2 linked regions of the Rhinolophus ferrumequinum genome follow. The protein of the gene in region 2 purifies or fractionates together with the protein of the main gene of each other region. This does not show direct contact. Links are inferred from orthologs where the notes say so. Each region holds a gene or a part of one and is shown on either strand. Other genes may lie near its edges.

The links. The genes of interacting proteins can lie anywhere in the genome.
Region 1: the proteins of JOSD2 (region 2) and AHCYL1 purify together in Homo sapiens (affinity purification with mass spectrometry; 4 studies listed by BioGRID and IntAct, counting the BioPlex papers as one, with this or other methods). This does not show direct contact. The link is inferred for Rhinolophus ferrumequinum from reciprocal best matches to the Homo sapiens genes JOSD2 and AHCYL1.

The regions. Positions count from the first base shown.
Region 1 is NC_046305.1:41,997,193-42,007,313, reverse strand, and holds the start of AHCYL1 (S-adenosylhomocysteine hydrolase-like protein 1), read right to left. Parts: upstream 5,937-10,121; 5' UTR 5,579-5,936; coding exon 5,459-5,578; intron 1-5,458. UniProt on the Homo sapiens protein: Multifaceted cellular regulator which coordinates several essential cellular functions including regulation of epithelial HCO3(-) and fluid secretion, mRNA processing and DNA replication.
Region 2 is NC_046298.1:45,303,849-45,313,969, forward strand, and holds JOSD2 (josephin-2), read right to left. Parts: upstream 5,190-10,121; 5' UTR 4,816-5,189; intron 4,320-4,815; 5' UTR 4,306-4,319; coding exon 4,160-4,305; intron 2,609-4,159; coding exon 2,483-2,608; intron 1,596-2,482; coding exon 1,401-1,595; intron 1,319-1,400; coding exon 1,219-1,318; 3' UTR 1,065-1,218; downstream 1-1,064. Other genes in the region: ASPDH (aspartate dehydrogenase domain-containing protein), read right to left, coding at 5,472-5,515, 5,859-6,013, 6,083-6,303, 6,385-6,534, 6,628-6,712, 6,968-7,112, 7,331-7,385. UniProt on the Homo sapiens protein: Cleaves 'Lys-63'-linked poly-ubiquitin chains, and with lesser efficiency 'Lys-48'-linked poly-ubiquitin chains (in vitro). May act as a deubiquitinating enzyme.

The sequences.
Region 1 (10,121 bases), on a different chromosome or scaffold from region 2:
TCTAACTCTGTAATTGCTGTGAGCAAAGGCCACACATTTCTGCAGCAGAAAATCAGTTATACATAATTAGGAGCAGGCTGTTCAGAGCAGAGAGAAATTGTGCCTGGGGGAGGGAGTTTCAGTACACAGGGATGTGATCTGAAGGTGACTATATAAAAAGATAAAGTCACAGCTCAGAGGAGGTTTTGGAATGGTTTCATGGTATTCACGGATTCTAGTTTGGGAAGACTCCCAAACAACTGCAGATTGAAGAAACGAACTCCTGGACTCAGCCAGACTAGTGTCTGATAAACACCCCCTTTCTGTGGGTGCATGTGTGGTATGGAGGACAGGGTGCTGGAGTGGTCAGATAGAGCGTATCCCATTTCCATCACAAGCTCCACGTTCTCCCGTTGTCTATGTGCCTCCTAGAAATCAGCAACTACTGTAGTGTTCAATAGGTGTAAGCTCTACATAAAATAACACCTGTCAGGTAAAAGTTTTTTCCTGTTAAAATGACGTTCCAATAGAAACATCTTTGTTTTGGCTCTTTAAGAATATTTCAAATACACCAGGCTCAGCAGGCTATATGGTCACCCTAGTTATAAAGGAGTAAATACACTAAGCAGTATTTACCAGATGTTAACCTTCTCAACAGTCCTGTAGTACAATTACCATTCCTCGTTTTACAGATAAGAAAATGGAAGCTCAAAGTCCATGCCCTGGACCACTGTGATATGCAGTCTTCAAAAACTTACAAGTAGCTGGGGGAAAAAAGATACCCTACAAAGAAATAATTAGAAAGACTTTTATTTAGTGATAATTAAGACCAGGAGGCAACGGAAAAATACCTTCAAACTATTAATAAAAATAACTGTCAACCTACAAGTATGTACCCAGCAAACCTATCTTCCAAAAATGAGAGCGAAATAAATTCACTTACAGATAGCAGAAAGGAAGGAAGAAGAGAGGGCGGGAGTCAAAGAGAGAAAGAGAGAGAGAAGAGAAGAGAAGAGAAAAGAAAGAAAAATAGAGGCTTAGATAGGTTAAGCCACTCATCCAGTCATACAGCTATTAAATGGTAGAGACAAAGTAAACCTGACTCCAAAAATCAAATGCTTGACTTACATTGTACTACTCACAGTTTTAGGAACAAAAAGGAAAAGTTAAAGAGGTTTCAGGTAACAGCCAAGCAACAGTGGGATGGCAGAAAACTACCTGAATGAAACAAAAGGAAACACGGAAACAGAAGAGAAAAGGTGACCACAATTCCACGTGAAGTTTTAACTGCTCACCATACACAAGGCACTGAGAGTGTTGACGAGAGCCTGAAGGACAACCTGTGCTAAGACTTTGTCTTTAACTCCGGATTCTCAGATTTCAGGTTGGAAAAACCTCTGGTGAATGCAAATATATTGTTCTTCATACAGGATGGGGATGCTTCTGACCCACCTCAATATGATGTGTTCTAAATTACAAAATTTTAATACTCAATATTCCCAAACTTGAGAAACAGATAGGTATAAATGGTTCTACTTTACTGGCCAGTTCCTTTAAATAAGAGCCCTAAGAGAGCATTTCGGTACTTGTTCATAGACCATAACTACTTGAGGTGGCAGAGTAAACTTATGAGGAATCACAGGCAACTAAAGGTCCATATTCTATGTATCAAAATACATTAAAAACTTTACAAGAATGTTATACTGGGTAACTCATACTAAATCCACATGATACTCTCCTGATAAAACAAACGGCACACATTTACAATACTGCCAGAAAGGGATCTAGGCAATGAACAGATTGCTCTGTTACAAGTTAAACCTCTAAAGGAACTTAGAACAAAGTAATAATGGAAACTAGTATCAAACTAAACAGAATCAAGTAAGAAAAAGAGAAGTAATCAGTATCTGTGGAGAAATCTAAACAAGATAGGATCTTCTTACATGTCTGACTCTTGTTCAAAGACTGACGCTAAAACAGAAGCCACTCTAGAGACTCAAGAGATACTACTAATGATGTGGAGAAGACAGGAAATGTCAACCTATCAAATCTCTTCTCAGTGACTCTAAGAAGTACGGGTATAAATTCTGCACCAAGAATAAGCTACATAACCCTTAAGAGGAGGACCCTGGGTTCCACCCAACAGGCTAACATTTACACAGTACTCACTGGGGCTCTACCTAGTATGCTTCCTAAGTCTCAGCCAACCCCTTTGATGAATTAGTGCAATATATGCTTTATTCAAATAAAGAATATCCTATGATCAAAAGTAATTTCTTTTGCGTTCTTTCTCTTCTTCAGCCTCCTGTGCTGCTGGTACAGGTCTGCATAAATCCTAGGTCAAATGCCTAATGCATCACTCCAGAGAGCCTCCTCTCCTGCCCCCACCAAATGTTCAGAAGTACAGAGAACAGCAAATGACCTGACAGGCCTGCCAGAGAAAGATGTCTACCGTAGGAAGTTTTATCAACAAGATGAAGATTTGGGTTTACCCTATGGAAAAAAAATCAACTTGACATAATCTCAATTTCCCAAGGCCCAAGGTGGCTATCACCTCTGCAATACGAAGTAGCAGAAAAGGTATGTCTTCATCCACCTTATTCACTGGATCTGGCACCGTCCGACTTCTGGCTCTTCCCCAAGGTCAAAATGACCATGAAAGGTAAACATTCTGAAGCGATTCAGGACATCGAGGCAGCCATGACAGCGCAACTAGAGACACTCATGAAAGAGGACTTCCAGAACTGCTTCCGAAAATGGCAAGAACAATTGGATACGTGTGTTTGAAGTGGGGGAGAATATTCTGAGAGGGATTGATGGGACTATGGCTTTCATTGTAATAATTTTTTTAAAATTTAGACATTCACTGTATTTTTTGATTACACCACATAGCACTGTGGCAGACAGAATACAAAACCGAGTAAATTATGATTATAATTGAAGAATCTCAGTATTTGACGGACATCCATTCTTCCCCAAAGAAAACAAAATTTCACCAGTTACACTGGAAACTGATCTGAGGACTGTCAAAGTCACCCTGAAGTAACCTATACCCTCTGACTGGCACCAGAAATGTCCTCAATTCCCAAGGGGCCTCAGGGCTTCGTATGCTCCAGGAATTAATTGGTCTAGAGAGCCATACCAGAATCCTCACAGGTGAAGGACAGCACCATTTGAAGAGGCCTTTTTCTCACATGCCAAGCTACATTTTTTCTCTTACTTTCCTCATGCTTTCTCACAGTATTAACGCATGGCACAGGTACAAAAGTGACTTAGGTCAACATATCCGATTCAGCCAAAGTTCTGAAAAAATGGATCGCCTAGAACTTGCTGCTATATGACCTTGATTAGTCCTCGACCAACTCATCAACTAAATAAATGCCTTTTATCATCATTGGGGAAGGGTAATTAGTCATCATAAAGCACTTTAATACAAAGTGCTGTGTAAATGCTAAACAATAAAAGCTCAGAAAGAGCAAGATTAATAAGAAACACGGGGACACATTTACCAGCAAATGGAAATTTACACGGGGTCTTCCCCAATTCCTAGCAGAGACTGCTTCTGTCAGCTAATGGAATGAATCTCTAAAATCATTAGCACTTGGCCTGACAATAATACATTAGCAATATTCCTCCTGGGAAGAAAAGAGGAAAAAGGATTATTTATTCCTGGTAGGCAGCCATACAGACGTCTTAATTGCTAGTTAGCCAGGCGGGCACTTATTTGAGTACCTACTGGATGCTAGGTACAGACAGTTAGGCACACTGCATACAATGGTGAACCAGAGTCCCTGCCTTGACGGAGTTTACAATCTACAATACAAACTTCGTCTTATTAATAGCAGCATTTCCAAAAATAAAGGTTTACTAAAATAAAGGCAAGTACGAATAAAGGTGCCTAATCCCTGAAGCAACCAAAGGAGGGACAGGCTAACGGGGAAGAGGAAGAGTTCAGGGAGTTAGGGTACCAGCGATTTCCCAGGTCTTTTCCCTAACTCATCACAGGCACTGCCCTTAAGCATTCTGCTTATAAAGGCTGTGTCTGTGTCTCCATATAATGCAGATCGCAAAGGGTTACTGCCCAACAAAGCAGTCAGCTGAACTGAGAGCACTAAAAATAAGCTTAATCAGGCTCCTTAGAATCAAGGGTTTTTCTACCACCCTTTTAAAGGCATTCTACTAGTAAGATCTCAATTTCGTGAGAAAATGGAGTTAAACCACAGAATCGTGACTTGTCTTCTCGATCCTGCATTTGATTTCTGGAGAGGTGGATTAATTTCCTTAAAAAAAGTTCTGTCTCCCATTTAGGACAGCTTAACTAGTTCAGATGAAGGAGCCTTAAGGATTGTTAACCATTCCTGCAAACCTGGCTTTGTTCCTGGCTTATACAAGCACTGTATCCATCAAACGCTGTAGGCAGGGACAGCCTTGAAACACTTTTTATCCAAGAGGGAAATATTTATCCAGGTTCTCACTGGTTTCAGAAAGGTCACCTCTCTGCGAAGGTTCTCTGGTGTACTGTTAAGTGGATGCCAGGTATGTGGAAAGTCAAGATGTGGTTGGCAGCAAATGCTCAGAAAGCACCAGGAATCCTAATTCCACCATTCTGAGAGCTCGTTAGACTGAAAGCTCCAAAGGTTGCCATTTAATCTTCCACGCACGACAAGAGAATGAGAAGGGCGTCCTTTGAGCTCAACCCACAGTACAATAGAGGAAACTTGTTCTGCCTCAATAAGTGCAGGCAAGAATGAGCAATCGCTCCATACCACCCACCCGTCCAACCCACCCTAGCTCCCTCCTCAAGGAAAGCCCAAGTGGTCTATTCACGACTCTGCGATCAACCTGTATCCATGACAGTGTCTCCCGTCACCAACCTCCACATACTAATTTTTTACGGGTGTCGAAGCAACTGGATGACTGTAGGTGAAAAATCACAGTTTTCTTTTCAATCTCATGATGCCCTCATTGCTTTCCCCTGCATAACAGAGCTAGCTCCACGCATTTTTCCCGCTTGTCTCCAGGCTAGCACGCAGTTGTTGGATAAACCGGCCACTGCTTGCAAAGATTTGCCTACAGAAGCTTTACCAGATTTACCCACTCATTTGAAAGGAGATTTTCTGTACACCCCCATCCCCTGGGGCTGGCAACAAGGGTCAACTGAGTTGGTCCGCCCCCTCCGACTCCCGTCTTCGAGGCCCTTCACCCCAGAAAAGTCACGGACAAATTTAAGGCCCAGCCCTGTCAGGTTTCAAAAAGATCCCGAAGGACTGGGGCCGAGGGACAAAGGAAAGTGAGGTCAGGGGCGGCCTCTCCAGCTCGGGATAGGCCTGGGGCCGCTCACCCGCCACCTCTACCCCATCTCAGTCGTCCCCGATCCCCTCGCCCCAAAAGTCGCGAACTAGCTGGAGCCCGGGGCTCGCTCGCGCCCCTTCCGCGAGGCCCCAGTCCGGGCCCCCGCCGCCACCCAGAACCCCCGCACCTTCTTGGGCGCCTTGGTGACGGTGGCCATGAAGGAGTACTTCTCGGCGTCCTCAATCTCCTTGGCCTGCTTCAGCTCCTCCCCGACCCCGGGCAGCGGCATCGCGTCAGGCATCGACATCCCCCGGCCGGCCGGGCCCGCGGCTGATCCGCCGCCCCCGCCTCTTTCCCTCTCGGGCGTCCGCCCACCCGCCCGCGCGGAGCACTCCGACACGCGCTCGCCCACCCTCCCGCCCGGCTCCACGCTGAGCCGCGTCCGGTGCCGAGGTGCTGGGGCCGGCGCCTCGTCCGCTCCGCCGCCCGAGACAGCCGGACAGCGCGGCGGCGACAGGAGCCCCAAAAGCAGCAACGCCGAGCTCCGACCAGCCCGCGCAGCCACCTCCGCCGCACGCACACACGCACGCAAAGTAAGGGTAGAGGGTGGTGACGCCACGTCAAGTACTGGCAGCTCCGGGGCGGGGAAATGGGCGGGGAGAAACGGCGCTGGGTCATGACGTCACCACGCAGGACTGGGCCCCTGGAGCCACCCCTCCTACTTCCCAGCTCGCGGGTGAAGCTGCCAGAGTGAGTGGGCTCCGGGGCGCCGCCAGGTGGCGCCATCAGCCCTGTGAGCGGCGCGTGGTTCCTGCAGGGATGCCGCAGAACTGGGGAGACTGGGCTGTGGGGTTCCCCGCAAGGCCTCAGAACGGCGTAAGGGGGTGCTTGGGATCAAAGACCAGAGCTCCACACGACACATCCTGCAGCCAGTCCTAGGAAACAACGGGGCCTAAGACAGCCCACTCACTCACTGCCTCCGACCCAAGCCCTTTAGACCAGAAGCCCCTTCCCAAGGGGCAGTGTTTGCCTCTGACTCCGTAAGAGTGGGCAGAACAGACTCAGAGCAATGTGGTTTCTGCACAACCTTTTGTGACCTCCTCCACCGCTGTCTTCGCTGGGCCTTGCCTGTTTACAGACCTCTAGGCCACAGAGCTGATGTTATCTGGCCATTGGGATAGGGCTAATGGATCAGAGGGGTGGAGAGCAGGAGGGGGGAGGGGGCAGTTTCCAGACTGAAAGGCTTTCCTGCTTCGCGCCTCCCTCCCTCCCCGCCCCCCATTAGATTCGGTCAGCTACCAGTGTGGCACCCAGGGCGTTCATGGACCATTCACATGTTTTTATTGGGCCCTACTACGTTCTGTCTTTGTTCTAGGCCCTGGATAGTAAAGATCCGCGTGATACATTTTATGTTTTGCAAGGCTTAGTCCAGCTGGAGAGGCAAAGCATATCTGTAACCTAATGTCACCTAAGGTAGCGTGTCCTTGGAGATTCAGATGACATTGTCTTGAACTCCCACGTCCTGTGGAAAGTCCAATGCCCTCCCCAGGATTTCAGTGTATTACTGGGGGAACTTTGATTTTCCTGGTTACCTCCGGCTCTAGTTTTCTGCCTCATGCGAAGTGTTATTCAGTGTTCTGGTCTGGTGGCTGTTTCTTTAGTTCCTGCGGTCAATTCACATAGGGAACACAGCCCTGTTCTTTCCAACCCCCACCCCCTATTCCAAAACAACCACACAAATAATGCTATAACATGTAGTAGAACTTTTAATGAAAATTTGTTGGCCACAGGGGAGAGATTACATCATACAGCAAACAATTTAAAATCACATTTCTGAAATGTTCTGAAAAGTTATTTTGGCTATATCGTCACCTGGGATTTCTCGTTGGCGACACCACCCCACAAAGCTCCCCAGGCCATTGTGTCTAATCTAGCTTCCTCCTGCTACTCCCTTCCCATCCTCCGCCTCATCTCCCTTCCTGGATTGACTCTGGGAAGCCTGATTCTTTGCTCTGTGATGAGTATTCGAGTCTTCCCAGCTCTCTTTTCCTAAATTACCACCCCACCCCACCCCGCAGTCCACCTTTTTATATCTAGAAACCCACTCGCTATCTGACAGGGTCAACTCTTTCAAGAAAGAAGTTGTGGTTTTCAACACTGGTTTATTTTCAAGGTTGGGAAGAGTGTGAAATACTTGCCTCTGGGGCCCCAGAAGTCTTAGTCACAGAAGCCCATGTTCCAACCACCCAGCCCCGCCCGTGAGGCTGTCTGTTTAAAAGTGGACGATGGAAGCTACTGGAAAGATGCACACTTCTGCAAATCCTGATCTTTACTGTTAGGAGTCTCTCATCTGCCCACTCTTCGAAGCCCCTCGTCTCCTCTCTCAAAGACATTCCTGTAGCAGAAGGGACAGAAAGTTGGGGGGGGTCGGAATACCAGATTGATTCAGAGGTGCCACTGGTACCTACCTCTTCGTCTCCCAGCTGGAACCAGGAGTCCCCCTGCCCACCCAGGATGCTTTGGGTGTACAGCGTGAAGTAGGTTTCATCCTGTGTGTCTGCCCAAACTGTCATCGGATCCCAGGAACCAGAGCTGCCTGCTCAGAGAGCAGAGGCAGAGCCAGTTGGAACAGAGGTCAAACTCCACATCTTTCGAATAGGAAAACACGTGGCTTAAGTTAGCTTGTTTTAAAACATAAAAGAAAAGCATACATGTGTCTGTCCTTTGGATTTGATTTTCTAAACTCCCGTTGTCCAAGAGCTTAGTCTCTGCCCTGCATGTTAGCATTCAAACTATGAGATTCCTCGAGACTGAAGTTCAGCCTCTCTTTTACTCCTCAACCAAAGTAACAGGTTTCCCGTAAGAGCAGGCTCACAGAATTGACTGTTGCTGAGGATGGTAAAGACAGGGCCCTGCCTAGAGGAAGAAATACCTCTGCGGTTGGAGCCAAGAAGGAGATCAACAGGTCCAACTCCACTTACCTGAATGCCTGGCCCACGGGAGGCTGGGAAGGCTGACTTAGGGAAATTGGAAGTGCTTCGGCTGGAAGGCAGGCTTACACTGCCCTGGTGGAAAGGCAGCAGGGGCCAGCGCCAAGGGCATTCCTGGAAACCAGCCTGCTGTAGAGGACATGGATGCTTGCCATTCCCGGTACCGTCAGTGGACTGGAGATCAAAGAGCTCACCCAGCCCGAGAGTGTGATGACATATCAGTGAGAAACACTGTGTGTTGCCCCCACTCCTAGATGGCCCCACATGGCCCCGCTAAGGGGGTTGCCTCTCATGGATGACGAGAGCTGCCTGTCTTCAACACCACCCGCCTCCCCCCCACCGCCCCACATCTACCTGGTGACTCAGCACCTGTGAAATGGGTCAGGAAGGTGTGTCAGGGCTCACTGTCCTGAACAGCATAACCCTCACACAGATCAGAGAAGAGACCAGGGGCCAGTGTTTGAGGAGCGCAGGGACCAAGGAGCGGTGTACTTGTGTGTGGTGGGGGCCAGGCCTCTAAGTGGCCTCTAAATGGCCTAAAGGACTAGAGGGGACCCTGCTCTAGAAAGGAGTAGAAATGACTTGGAAGACATTCTTATCAGAAATGTGGTGGCACTGGGGTACCACATGTGGGCTTGGTCTGGTTTATCAAATTCAACCCCCAAAATCACCTTCCACATTCATTCATTTTTTTTTTTTAATTCATAAAATATACATCAAATGCTGATGATATGCCAGGAGCAGCACTAGATCTTGGACTACAGGGACAAATGAAGTCCTGAGCTCTACCTGGGGACCAAGGGTAGGGGTGGGGGTTGAAGGGATGAGCAAGAAAGGCTTTGTAGAGGGAGACCTGCTTGACCTGAACTCTTGACAGGTAAGCAGCTGGACAAGGTAAGGAAGGGATTCTAGGCTGAAGGACTAGCATGACAAAAAGCAGGACAATGAAACAGCTTGACGTATTACGGGAACTAAATATTTCAGTGTGGGTGGGGCACAGGGTGCAAAGTAGGGCAGAACAAGGGCTGAGGCCAAAGCCAGGTCCTGCAGAGCTTGGTGAACCACGGGTAGACAGTGGTGATGTCCACCAGGATGGGGAAAGCGGGAGGAGAAGCAGGTCAGGGTGCAGGGGCTGCTGAGATAAGGAGCCAGCTTAAGGCATGTTGACTTTGAAATGTTTGTGGAGTTCACTGTCCCCAAGTCCCAGGGGAGCCTAGGTTGGCACCTCTCCCACCCATCTGCTCCCCGCCAGGCTGGCATTCCTCAAGAGTAAGGCCGTACTCTCCCTGTAGCTCCTTCACCTCCTGTGGCCAGGTCCCCCTTTAGTCCTCTAAAATGAAAAGTGCAGAAAGATTGCTGGAGATCTTGGGTGACCATAGAAGTAAGGAAACAGGTAAATGGCTCTACATCCATCCAGCGGATGCCCTCCCATGTTCTTTCTGTCCCAGAACCACCACACGGCACACTCTGGGTGGCACCATTGACATTGTCATTGAGGTGAAGGGTGCCCCTCGAGCAAGATTCCAGATTGCCAGTCTGCCCTGCTGCTCCCCAGGGGCTCCCAGCGCGGGGTCCTCAGGCATGCCTGGTTCCTCCTTCCCCAGCTCCTTGGTTCCCCTCTTCCAGCTTCCCTGCCTCCCCTCTCTGCAATTCCAGCTCTTTGGAGAAGATGAGCAGTCCCCCAGAGGCCAAGAAAGACTCCTTCTCTACCTCCTTTGCTTACTATGACATTTATTATTTATTGTGCTATTTATCATTATTTCAAACATAATCTTTATCGGAAAAGAAAGCCTGTGAAGATAAAAATCTCTTTATATATCTCTAAGTTCACTTCTGATTCCTGTTAATTTGCAGGTGTTC
Region 2 (10,121 bases):
GACAGCTAACGGGACCCTGGCCTTGCTCCTCTCAGATCCCCGCTGCCCACCCTGGGCATTGTATTCCCCCTTTGTCACCTCTCCACCTTCCGCTCCTTTCCTCTCCCTTTCCACACGAGGCCCCAAGGCCTTTGCACGGCCGCTCTCTTCCTGGAATGCTTTTCCTCCAGACCTGCCCATGGCGCCCTCTCTCTCCTCCTTCCAGTCTTTGCTCAAATGACACCTTCTCCTGGAGGCCCACCGCCCTAAATGAACCCTAACACTGCATTTGTTTCCCATGGCTGCTCTAACAAAGTTCATGGCTTAAAACAATACACATTTATTCTTTTAACATTTGTGGCGGCCAGACTTCCAAAATAAGTCTCACTGGACTAGAGTCAAAGTGTGGGCAGGACGAGTTCCTTCTGGGGGTCCAGGGGGAGTCTGCGTCCTTGCCTGTGCCAGCTCCTAGGAGCCGCTCTCATTTCCTGGCTCATGGCCCTGTGTGTTCCAAGCCCCCATGTGGGCGCTGGCTCTCAGACCCTGCCTGCTGCCTTCTTCAAGTCTTTCTCTGGCTTTGCTCTCCTACCTCCCTCTCCACCTTTCAGAACCCTCACCATCCTTCCTTCGGAGAGTGCAGGATCCTCTTTCTATGTCAAGGTCAGCTCCCAGAGCAACCCTGACTCCTTCTGCAGCCTTCACTCCCCTTTGCCATGTGACTGAACATATCCCCAGGTTCCAGGGATTAGGCCGGGGACATCTTTTGAGGCCACTACTGCAATTGAAGGAATAGAATTGAGAGTCAAGAAATAAACCCATGCTTTCTCCTTGGCACTTCTCTCTCCGAACACTCTACTGGCACCTATTTGTTCACTTCTGGTCTCTCCCTGCCACCGGAATGTGGGCCTCACGAGGGCAGGGAGGAAGCTGAGGTCCAGGGCAGTGTGACTCGCAGGAGGTCACAAAGCTGGGGGACAGCAGAGAGCCAGCATTAGGGTTCCTGGCATGGCCCGCCTGGGTGCCCGGCCTGTGATAAACAGGAGTAACTGAAGAAAAGGGGGCCCCAGTCAGACTCGGGCCAGGCCTGGAGCAAATCTGCACGTTTATTGAGGCAGCAGCGGCATTGGGAAGCAGAGGTGGGGAAAGGGGGAGGGGCCTCCGCAGGGTCCCTGAGGCGCAGGCACAGGAGCCGCACAGGGACACGCTGGGTGGACGGCAGTGGTTCCCTCCTCCACGGCGTCAGTCTGTGCGAAGCCAGCAGCCCGTTTCCTCCACGTCCCTGGTCACCACCAGCAGCACCTCACACAAGCCCTGAGCTAGGGCGGCTGCCAGGAAGGACCTGGGCGGACAGACAGGGAGACTGAGGTCCAGGGGGCCTCGGCTGGCCTCTGGGGGAAGGGGCTTCATCGCCTCCCCCTCACCTGACGCCGTCCTCATCCCCCAGGGCCTCAGGCGCCCGCAGCTTGGAGTCCAGGTTGTAGTAGACACCGTCCACCTGGCGCAGGGCCACCCAGTGCCGCCGGCGCAGGGGCAGGGACAGCAGCCCCAGCGACACGGGCGAGGGCAGGTTCAGGATCAGCCCCAGCACTTGGGGCAGGGCCAGCTGGGACAGGGGCCTGTGTGGGCGGGGCCGGACACGGGGGCAGGGCTGAGCGGCACTGAGCGTGCGCGGCCCAGGCTGACCTACAGCGGGGCCGCCTGAACCCACCAAGGACCCTCCTCAGTCAGCCCACCCTGTTTCCTTTAACTCACCTGTTCTCCCACCCACCCACCCACCCATGAAAAACCCCCAGCAGCCATCCAACGTCCTTCTACTGCTCATCCCACTACCTCACAGCCATCCAAGCCTCCGACCACCGTCCACCCAACTCCCCATTCCCTCCGCACACATCTACCATTGATCTGTCCTTTATCCACTACACACCACCCACCCACCACCCATCCGAAGTTCCCAAACAACTAACCGCCACTCACCATCCAATGCCCCATCTACTGTTCACCCAAACACCATCCACCCACTGACGCAGTCACCACCATCCAACCGGCCACCTACCTACCCACAAGCTTCTTCAACAGCCACCCAACTCACCCACTCTTTACCCCCCCATTACCCACCCACCCACCCACCCACCTATTTGCTGTCCACAGCCTATCAGGTAACTAGCCATCCTTTATTCTCTCAGCCACTCACGTACCATTCACACAGCCCATCACCCAATCACCATCTACTCAACACATCCAAGCGCCATTAACCTTCCAGTCAGTCACCCAGTTACCATTAATTTACCCAATATCCATCCATCAACCATCCAGAAACTCACACACCCTCCTGTCACCTCCCAGCCCATCAGTCTGCCAGCCATCGTCCACCATGGAAACCTTCCATCCCACTCCCTCTTCCTCCCTCCAGCCCACCCATCCCCTTCCTCCTAATTCCCTCCACATTGACCACCACCACGAGGCATCCACTATCACGTGGCACCCACGGCACCAAGCCTCCCACCTCCTTCTGTCCCACCACACTGCGGCCAGGCCCAGTCCCTGCAGTGCGGCCATAATCACGTTGACGTCATAGTTGCCGGTGCCCAGGAGGCTGCGATGGGGGTTCAGCCGGCAGTCGGGGGCCAACCTGGTTGGGGGGTGATCAGAGTCTGAGTTCGGGGTCACTGAAAAGCCTCCCCACAGAGCAGGAGAGTCCCAGGGTCCATGAGTCACCCACCCTTTGAGCTCTTCCCGCTCTTTAACCCTTGCGACTCATCAGCCCCAGGCCCTACTCTGCCTGTCCTCCAACCACACCTTCCTGTTCAGGCCTTGTCCTCTGCCACCGGGACCCTCACCCAGCCTCGTCTCCCCCCTCCGTCCATCTCCCACAGGACCAGGGGATCTTTTACACCTGGTGCTGACCCTGCCCTCCTCTGCTCCCAGCCCTGCCTGGTGCCCTGTCACCCCAGGATAGAGTGCCAGCCCCTCAGCCTGGCCGTAGAGGCCCCACATGGTCAGGTCCCCGCTGGCCTCCTAGCCTCAGCCCCCACCAGCCCCTTCCCAGCCACCTGTCTCCAACCACATCTCTTGTGATCCTGCCCCCAGCCTTTCCTCCAGCTGTCCCCCAGAGCAGGAGGGTCACCCCGCCAACACTCGTCTCTCAGCCCCGCCTCCTCGGAACAACAGCACCTCTGTTCTCTCTCTGGGCTCTTGGTGGTCAGAGCAGTGGGAGGGGTGGAAAGGACGAAATCTGTATATTATTTTTCTGTGTATTCTGTTTGTCTGGCCCCCTCAGGGCAGGGCTCGTATCGGACACATCTTTAGGTCTCCAGGATGGCCTTGGCACGACTGTGTTGAATGACACAGGAGATGAGTCAACTCTCTAATAACCAATCTGAGGGGATAAGACTCAGCCTGAGGATGCTGATGCTGGGGGCCCACGGGAGGGCCTCAAGCAAGAGAGAGGGAGACAGGGTCTCTTCTGGGTACAGGGCCCTGTGGAGCCTGCCCGGGGTGGAGAGACGGCAGGCTGAAGGGGGGATCCAAGGGACAACGGGTACTGAGCTGGGGCCAGGGCTGTGGGAGAAGGAGGGGGACGAGGCAGAGAGATAATAAAGAAGTGATGTTTGAAATCTTGAACAGTGAGGAGGAACATTCCAGGCTGCGAAGAGGACGAAGCCGTGACAGGCAGAAAGAACAGTTTGTGCAAAGGCCCAGGGGCATCATAGTGGGGGTCCTTTAGGGATGGGAGAGGAATGTGGTTTTTGGGGAGTAGTGAGATGTGAAGCTGCAGAGGCCAGTGGGGAACAGAGCACGGAGCGGCTTGGATATCAGGCTGCAGGCCTTGGGACTTCTCCCCAGGAAGCTGGGGAGCCACGGGAAGGCTGTGAGCAGGGGAGAGGCAGGGGCAGCACTGGGGCATGTGAGGATGGACTGGAGGAGAAAACCCAGAAACGGGGAGGCTAGAGGGAAAATGGGGACCAGCGCCCACATAAGAGAGGGTGAGGCCTGAGTTGGGGTGAGGCTTGGGGATGAACAGGGAGGCAACATGTCCATCTCTGAGTCCCAGCGTCCAGCTTAGGCATGTGATGGGGCAGCAGAAAGCCGCTGGGCTCTGCCCCTGCCTCGCTGAGACCCAGGTGGGTGGCTCTGCCTCTGTGAGCCCTGCTTCTCCAGGGGTTGGGTGGGTGACGGTCACCTCTTGCAGATCTCATCGGCAGCCTCCTGGCTAAAGAGCTGCTGCTGGAGGACGTTGTTGAGGGCGTGGATGGCACACAGCTCCAGGCGCTGCCGCTCATGGTACACGGGGAGCGGGCTCGGCTGTGCTCCCGGGCCCTGGGACATGCCGCCCTCGGCTCCTGCTCGGGGGGGAGGGGGAGAAGGTGTTCAGGGGACTGGGGTCTAGAGGCCCAACTTGTCAGCAGACCCTAGGGGCACCGCCATTGAGATTGGGGCTCAGAGCAGCCTGAGGGAACACTGGGCCCTTCATCCTTTTCCAGGGTTGCTCTTCTGGCAATAGGTACACCCTCCATCCTCCATTCCTAGGAAAAAGCCTTTTTCTGCTCACCTAGCAACATAGGAATACCCCCACCACATCCCTAAGTGAAAGGGTCCTATGGTGGTCACCTAGCAACAGAGAACCCCCCCACCAGGTAACAAGTCTCTCCTCTGGTTACTTAGCAACAGAGGAATTCTACTTTCCTGTCTCTAGGTAACAGGGTCTCTTCTGGTCGCCTAGCAACAAGACGACTCCCGTCCCCTGTCACTAAACAACAGGGTTTTCTCTTCCTGTCACCTGGCAACAGGGCCCCCTCCCCGGACACCAAGTAACAGAGCCCTTTCCCCAACCCGTACCCCAACAGCAGCGCTTGCCCGTTGCCCAGCAACGCCCCTCACGCCGCCTGCCTCTCTCCTCGCCGGAACCAGGGGCTCCCGCATCCCCCTGGGCGGCGACTGTAGGCTCCGAGTGTGGGGCGGGCAGCACGGCGCTGACTGGGCAGGCCAGACGGCCCACAGCTCCCGGCGGCCGCCGCGTGCCGGACTACGACTCCCGGCGGTCTCCGCAAGTGCCCTTACTCCGCACGGAACGTCTGGGCCAGCGTGGCCCGGAAGTTCCGCTACCGCTCGGAGACCGCGGGGCTGCAACTTCGGGGACTGTAGTTCTCCGCGGAGAATCCCGGAAGTGTGCCCTACAGAGTCCCCTTCGCTCACTACCACGCCCCCTAGTGCTCAGAGGATTCTGGGAAATGTAATGGGTCCGCTCTCGCGATAGCTTCCAGGCTTTTTGCTCCCGGGGTTCCCGCCCCCTGGTATGGCGTAATGTATAGTGCGAATGCGCAGCTTGACGTCACAGAGAATTACAAGGGAGTAGAGACACCAGGCTGTGCAGTAAGAACCTCCAATCTTTACTGAGACAGGAGGGAGGTCCGGGGAAACTGAGGCCAGGGCAGCTGCAGGACGGTGGTGGTGGGGAGGTAAAGGAGAGGAGGATGTCTTCTACTGAAGGCTTCTCAGCAGAGATGGATCCCAGGCCTTGAGGGGAGCTGGCAGCAGCCTGCGGGCAGATACGAGGGATGAAAGGCCGAGACAGAGAAATGAGAGAGAGACACCTGGAGGAAAGGACAGACCAAGGTTGGGGTGGAGGGGACCTAGAGAAAGGGACCAAAACCCAGAGTGGGAGAGAGACCCCGCAAAAGGGACAAAGACCTGGGGAGTGGACAGAGACACAGATAAAAAGATTCAAAGTCATGGCATAGAAGGTTAAGGAGATTCAGAAATAAAGGTCAACCAACAGACACAAAAGCAGAACTGCAGGATCGAGACCCAAGCTCTGCAGAGCGTAGAGCCCATGGCTTGGGGCCGGGGGCCGCTAGCACTGGGGAGGGGCCTGGCCTCACCCAGGAGGCTGCGCCAGAAGGCAGTAACAGTGGCTGAGCCGGTGACAGCGCCTGGCTGGGCGGGGTTCTCTCTGTGGGTGTGCACAGCAAAGCTCCGTCCTGTGGGGCCTGGGGGTCCGCTCAGCTCCACGTCCACCACATGCATGTCGGTGAGGCTGGGGCAAGCAGGGTGGTCAGTCTGGCTGGCCCAGTCCCAGCCCAAACTCCCAACCAGCTTAGCTCACCTGAGATCAGCCACAAGCACCCCGATCACACGGTCGAAGCCCAGGCTGGGGGCAGCCAAGGCAGCAGCCGCCATGGTGTTGGAGTTGCGGGGGGCAAATGGGCAGAGTCCACGGACAGGGCCTTCATACAGCACAGTGCGAGACCCGCTGCTGTGCGCTTCCGCCAGGGGTCCCTCAAGCCGGAAGCCATCAGGATGTGTGGCCATAGTAACACGGAGGCTCTAGAAGTAAGAGCCAGGGTCAGGGGGCCCTGGGGTCTCTGCAGGCCCCTTCTGGATCCTGGGGAGCCCACAGGCCCTCACCTGGAGGCCTCCAGCTGCATCCAGTCGGCTGATGTCCTCAGTACCCCACAGGGCCCCCCGGGCCACGAACACAGCATGGTCCCACTCGTGCGAGGCCTCCAGGAGCTGCTGTTCTGTGGCCTGGTTAGCGAGTGCTGACGGGGACCCCACCTGGGGTAGGTGAAGGTGGGAGGGACTGAGGTCGGGATGGGTAGATCCCACTTTGGGGTGGGGTGGGGCCGAGGCGGAAGAGGCAGGGCTCACCAGGAGATTGGCGTGGCGCAGGATCTGTGCCCCAGATTCGTGGATTATTTTGGGATGGGCCACTTCCACCACAAGGTCAGGGTGCCTGGGAGAGGGGAGAGATGGGGGAGGGCCTTGGAGAGGTATTAGGCCTCCCCTCCCCAGATTTCCTTAGTCTATAGAGGCCTGTCATTCTTCACCCTGGCCTGGGAGGGGGAACAGGATGTATGGGCTTGTCTCATTTCACATTTGGGTGAACCAAGGCCCAGAGAGGGTAAGGGACTCCCCTGAGGTCACACAGCAGCTAAGGAAGGCCAGAACAGGAGCTTCAGGGAGCCCCACTCATGGCGAGGTCACTGACCTCTCCCCAAGAGCAGCAAGGTTCTGGAGCTGCAGGGAGGGGGGTACGCTCCCCGTCATTCGTCCTGGGTCGCGATTCCAGACAAAAACAAGTTCTAGGCCTAGTTCTGGTCCCTGAGTCAGCAAATGGGAGACCAGGGACTGTCCTAGGGAGAGGGAAAGAAACTCAGAGAGGGGAACAGAGAGAGGGGGACAGAGACACAGAGAAGGATGGAGCCCTGTGGTGGGGAATGGAAGATGATCAGGCAGACAGACAGCCAGGGCACAGATAAAGGCATAGATGAAAGGTGTGTTTGTGGAGGACCTGGGGGCGTTGGGGGCTTCAGGAGGGGGCCTGGGGAAGAGGCCCCAGACAGGGACTCACCAAGCCGGCCGTAGCCCACCACCCCCACCCTCCGCGGGACCCTGTCGAGGGCCATGTCCTTGAATCTGGTGGTCTGCGATCCGAGCACCGTCGTCTGCTGACTGCCCCCCCAACACACACACACCAGGCCTGGGCAGCCGTTGATCTTTGGACATTTGACCCTTGAGCCTTTCCCAAGCTTTCCCCCTTCCCAGCAGAGGCCCAGAGGTGAGGGTGCAGATTTGCTGGGTGGGGGCAGGGTGACCATCCTGAGGGCAGTGGGCATGATGATTTGGGGTTCCACTGGCCCTGCGTGGCCCCCACTGTATGGGCTGCTTCTCTGCATGACTCCTTCCTTCCTGCTGATGTGGAAAATTTCCTCTGCAGTCCCCTGCCCCCACTTCTGGCCGGCCAGGTTGTCATGGAAACTGCATCCTGCTTGGGGTGGGGGTTGAGAGGGTTGGGAGCAGGGAGAGGAGATGGTGATGGGGCCTCTGGGCTCTCCGTCTGGCCCTTTGTGCATTTCCAGTGCCCATCCTTGCGGCTGCTGCCCCGCACCTCGGCACCGTGTTTGTCAACACTCAATGGTCCTTCATGTTGTGCTCCCTTTGGGTCTCTGTATCTCTCCGATCTCTCTCCGTCTCCATCTCTGTTTCTCCACCCTGGATCGCCATCCTTCCAGCCCCTGCCCCCATCTCCTCTGGGCTGGCTGCCATTCTGTGCCCAGCCGGGCCAAGACATCATTTCCTCCCCACCACAAGGTCCGAGGGAGGCCTGGCCTGGTCATACCCCGTCGTCTCCCCACATCGCAGTGGGAGATGGAGTTCCCCTCACCGCAGCCCCTCTCCAGAACCTCCTTCAGTTCACCTTGACTTCTCATCTTTCATCCTCCCCTTCCCCAGCTGTGCCATCTGGCCCCCCCACCCTGTGCTGTATTCTCACTCCCAAACCTGTCCCTCCCCACTCCCCACCTCCCACAGGTCAGTGAGAAGCCTTTGAGGCCTGGGGAGGCCATGAATGCCCCCCAAAATGAGCCTCAGCCAGTGCACCTCGTGGGTGCCCGGCATTGGAAATGGTGGAGGCTGCGGCAGTGTTGGTTCCCTGCCCCCAACTGCCACCTGGTACCCGCTGCAGCGTTGCCACGGCAACCAGGATTGGCTCTGAAAGAGGACCAGGGAGAAAGAGAGCATGAAAGAGGGAGTGAGGGGTAGAGTCCCAAGTTGACAGGCGACAGAGCAGACGTGCAGACAGAGAGCTTGGCAGCCGATAAGGGAAGAATTTGCTTTAGGAGCCTCAGGTGGGGGAGGAGATAAGATGCTGCGGGGCAGAAACAGACAGGGAGAGGGGCAGGGCCACCCTGGACTGGGGCCAGGCCCTCCCAGAGCACACCGGGCCCTGGTGGGCACCTGGGGGCTTCCTGCCTGCTCCGCATTCAGTCCTCAACTCCATGGGGCCTGAGTGTCGCACACAGCACCCACGCCTGCTGTATGTGCTGCCAGGTTGGGCTGAAGTGAGAGAGAACACGGCTGAGACCCAGCCTGCTCCCCGGCCTAGTGCTGTGTGTCCATGGCCAAGTCGGCCTGGACTGGCCCCTCATCCAGACTGGCCCCACTGCTTCCATCGGTCTCTGCCTGTCTAGACAGCAAGAGATGGCAGCCCAGGGGAGCCCAGCCCTCCCAAGGCTGAAATGCCAGCACCCTGGCCTCCCCCAGCCCCACCAGCAGCTGCCCACTGTCCTGGGTGGCCCCTGGGTTTGCTCCTACTTGCTGGCTCTGGGGGCTCTGCATGCGGCCCCCTTCCCTTCTGAGCACCAGCATAGTCCCCTCCTAGTCCCGGACCCCATCCGTCCTGCCTCTGCGTTAACAAGATGGAAGTGCAGCTCTGTCCTGCCCCGCAGGCCCCAGCTGCAGCTACAGCACCTCACACCACTTTACTCCTTCCCTCCCTTTCGCCTTCCCCTTCCCTGTGTCCCGCCTTCTCTGTGGCAGTGTCTTGAATGGGTTTGCAGTGGGGATGGACGCTTTCTGGGTTGGCTCTGTCATGGGCTGAACTGTGTCCCTCAGTAAGATGTATTGAAGTCCTGACCTCCATACATAGTCCTGTCTATGAGTGTGACCTCATTTGGAAACAGTCTTTGTAGACGATCAAGTTGAGATGAGGTGATGCTGGAGTAGGGAGGGCCATCATCCAACATGACCCATGTCCTTATAAAAAGGGGGAATTGGGACACAGAGGCAAGCGTGCACAGAGGGAAGGCAATGTGGAGACACAGGGAGAACGCCTGGTGGAGATCGGGGTGACGCTGCCACCAGGCCAGGAACATCTGGTGCGACCAGAAGCTGGAAGAGGCAGAGAAGGGTCCTCCCCGACAGGTTCCAGAGGGGGCCGAGCCTGGGGGCCGAGCCTGTCACACCTGATCGCGGACTCCCGGATCCAGAACTGAGACACCACATTCCTGCTGCTCTGGGCCCCCCAGTTTTTACTACTTGTTGCAGTAGCCCCAGGAAACTAATACGGGTCCCGCGGTTTCTGCTGAGAAGTGGGGACAGGGGAGAGGACCCCAGTGCCTACCTCAAAAGAGCAGTGGGGAGATTAAGTACTAGTGCCGGGTGACTGAGCCCTTCCTTGTGGGACCTCTGAGCTCAAGGATGAGGGTACTCAGCACCCGAGGGGCCAGCACCCCCCTTCCTGAAGGGCCTGCAACGTCCTCTCCTTCTGCTCCCCACCCACATTCACTTCATTTGTTCTCTCCTCCATGCTTTCATGACCAAAAAAAATATTTTTTTACTTTTTCCGTGTTTTTTTTTTTAAA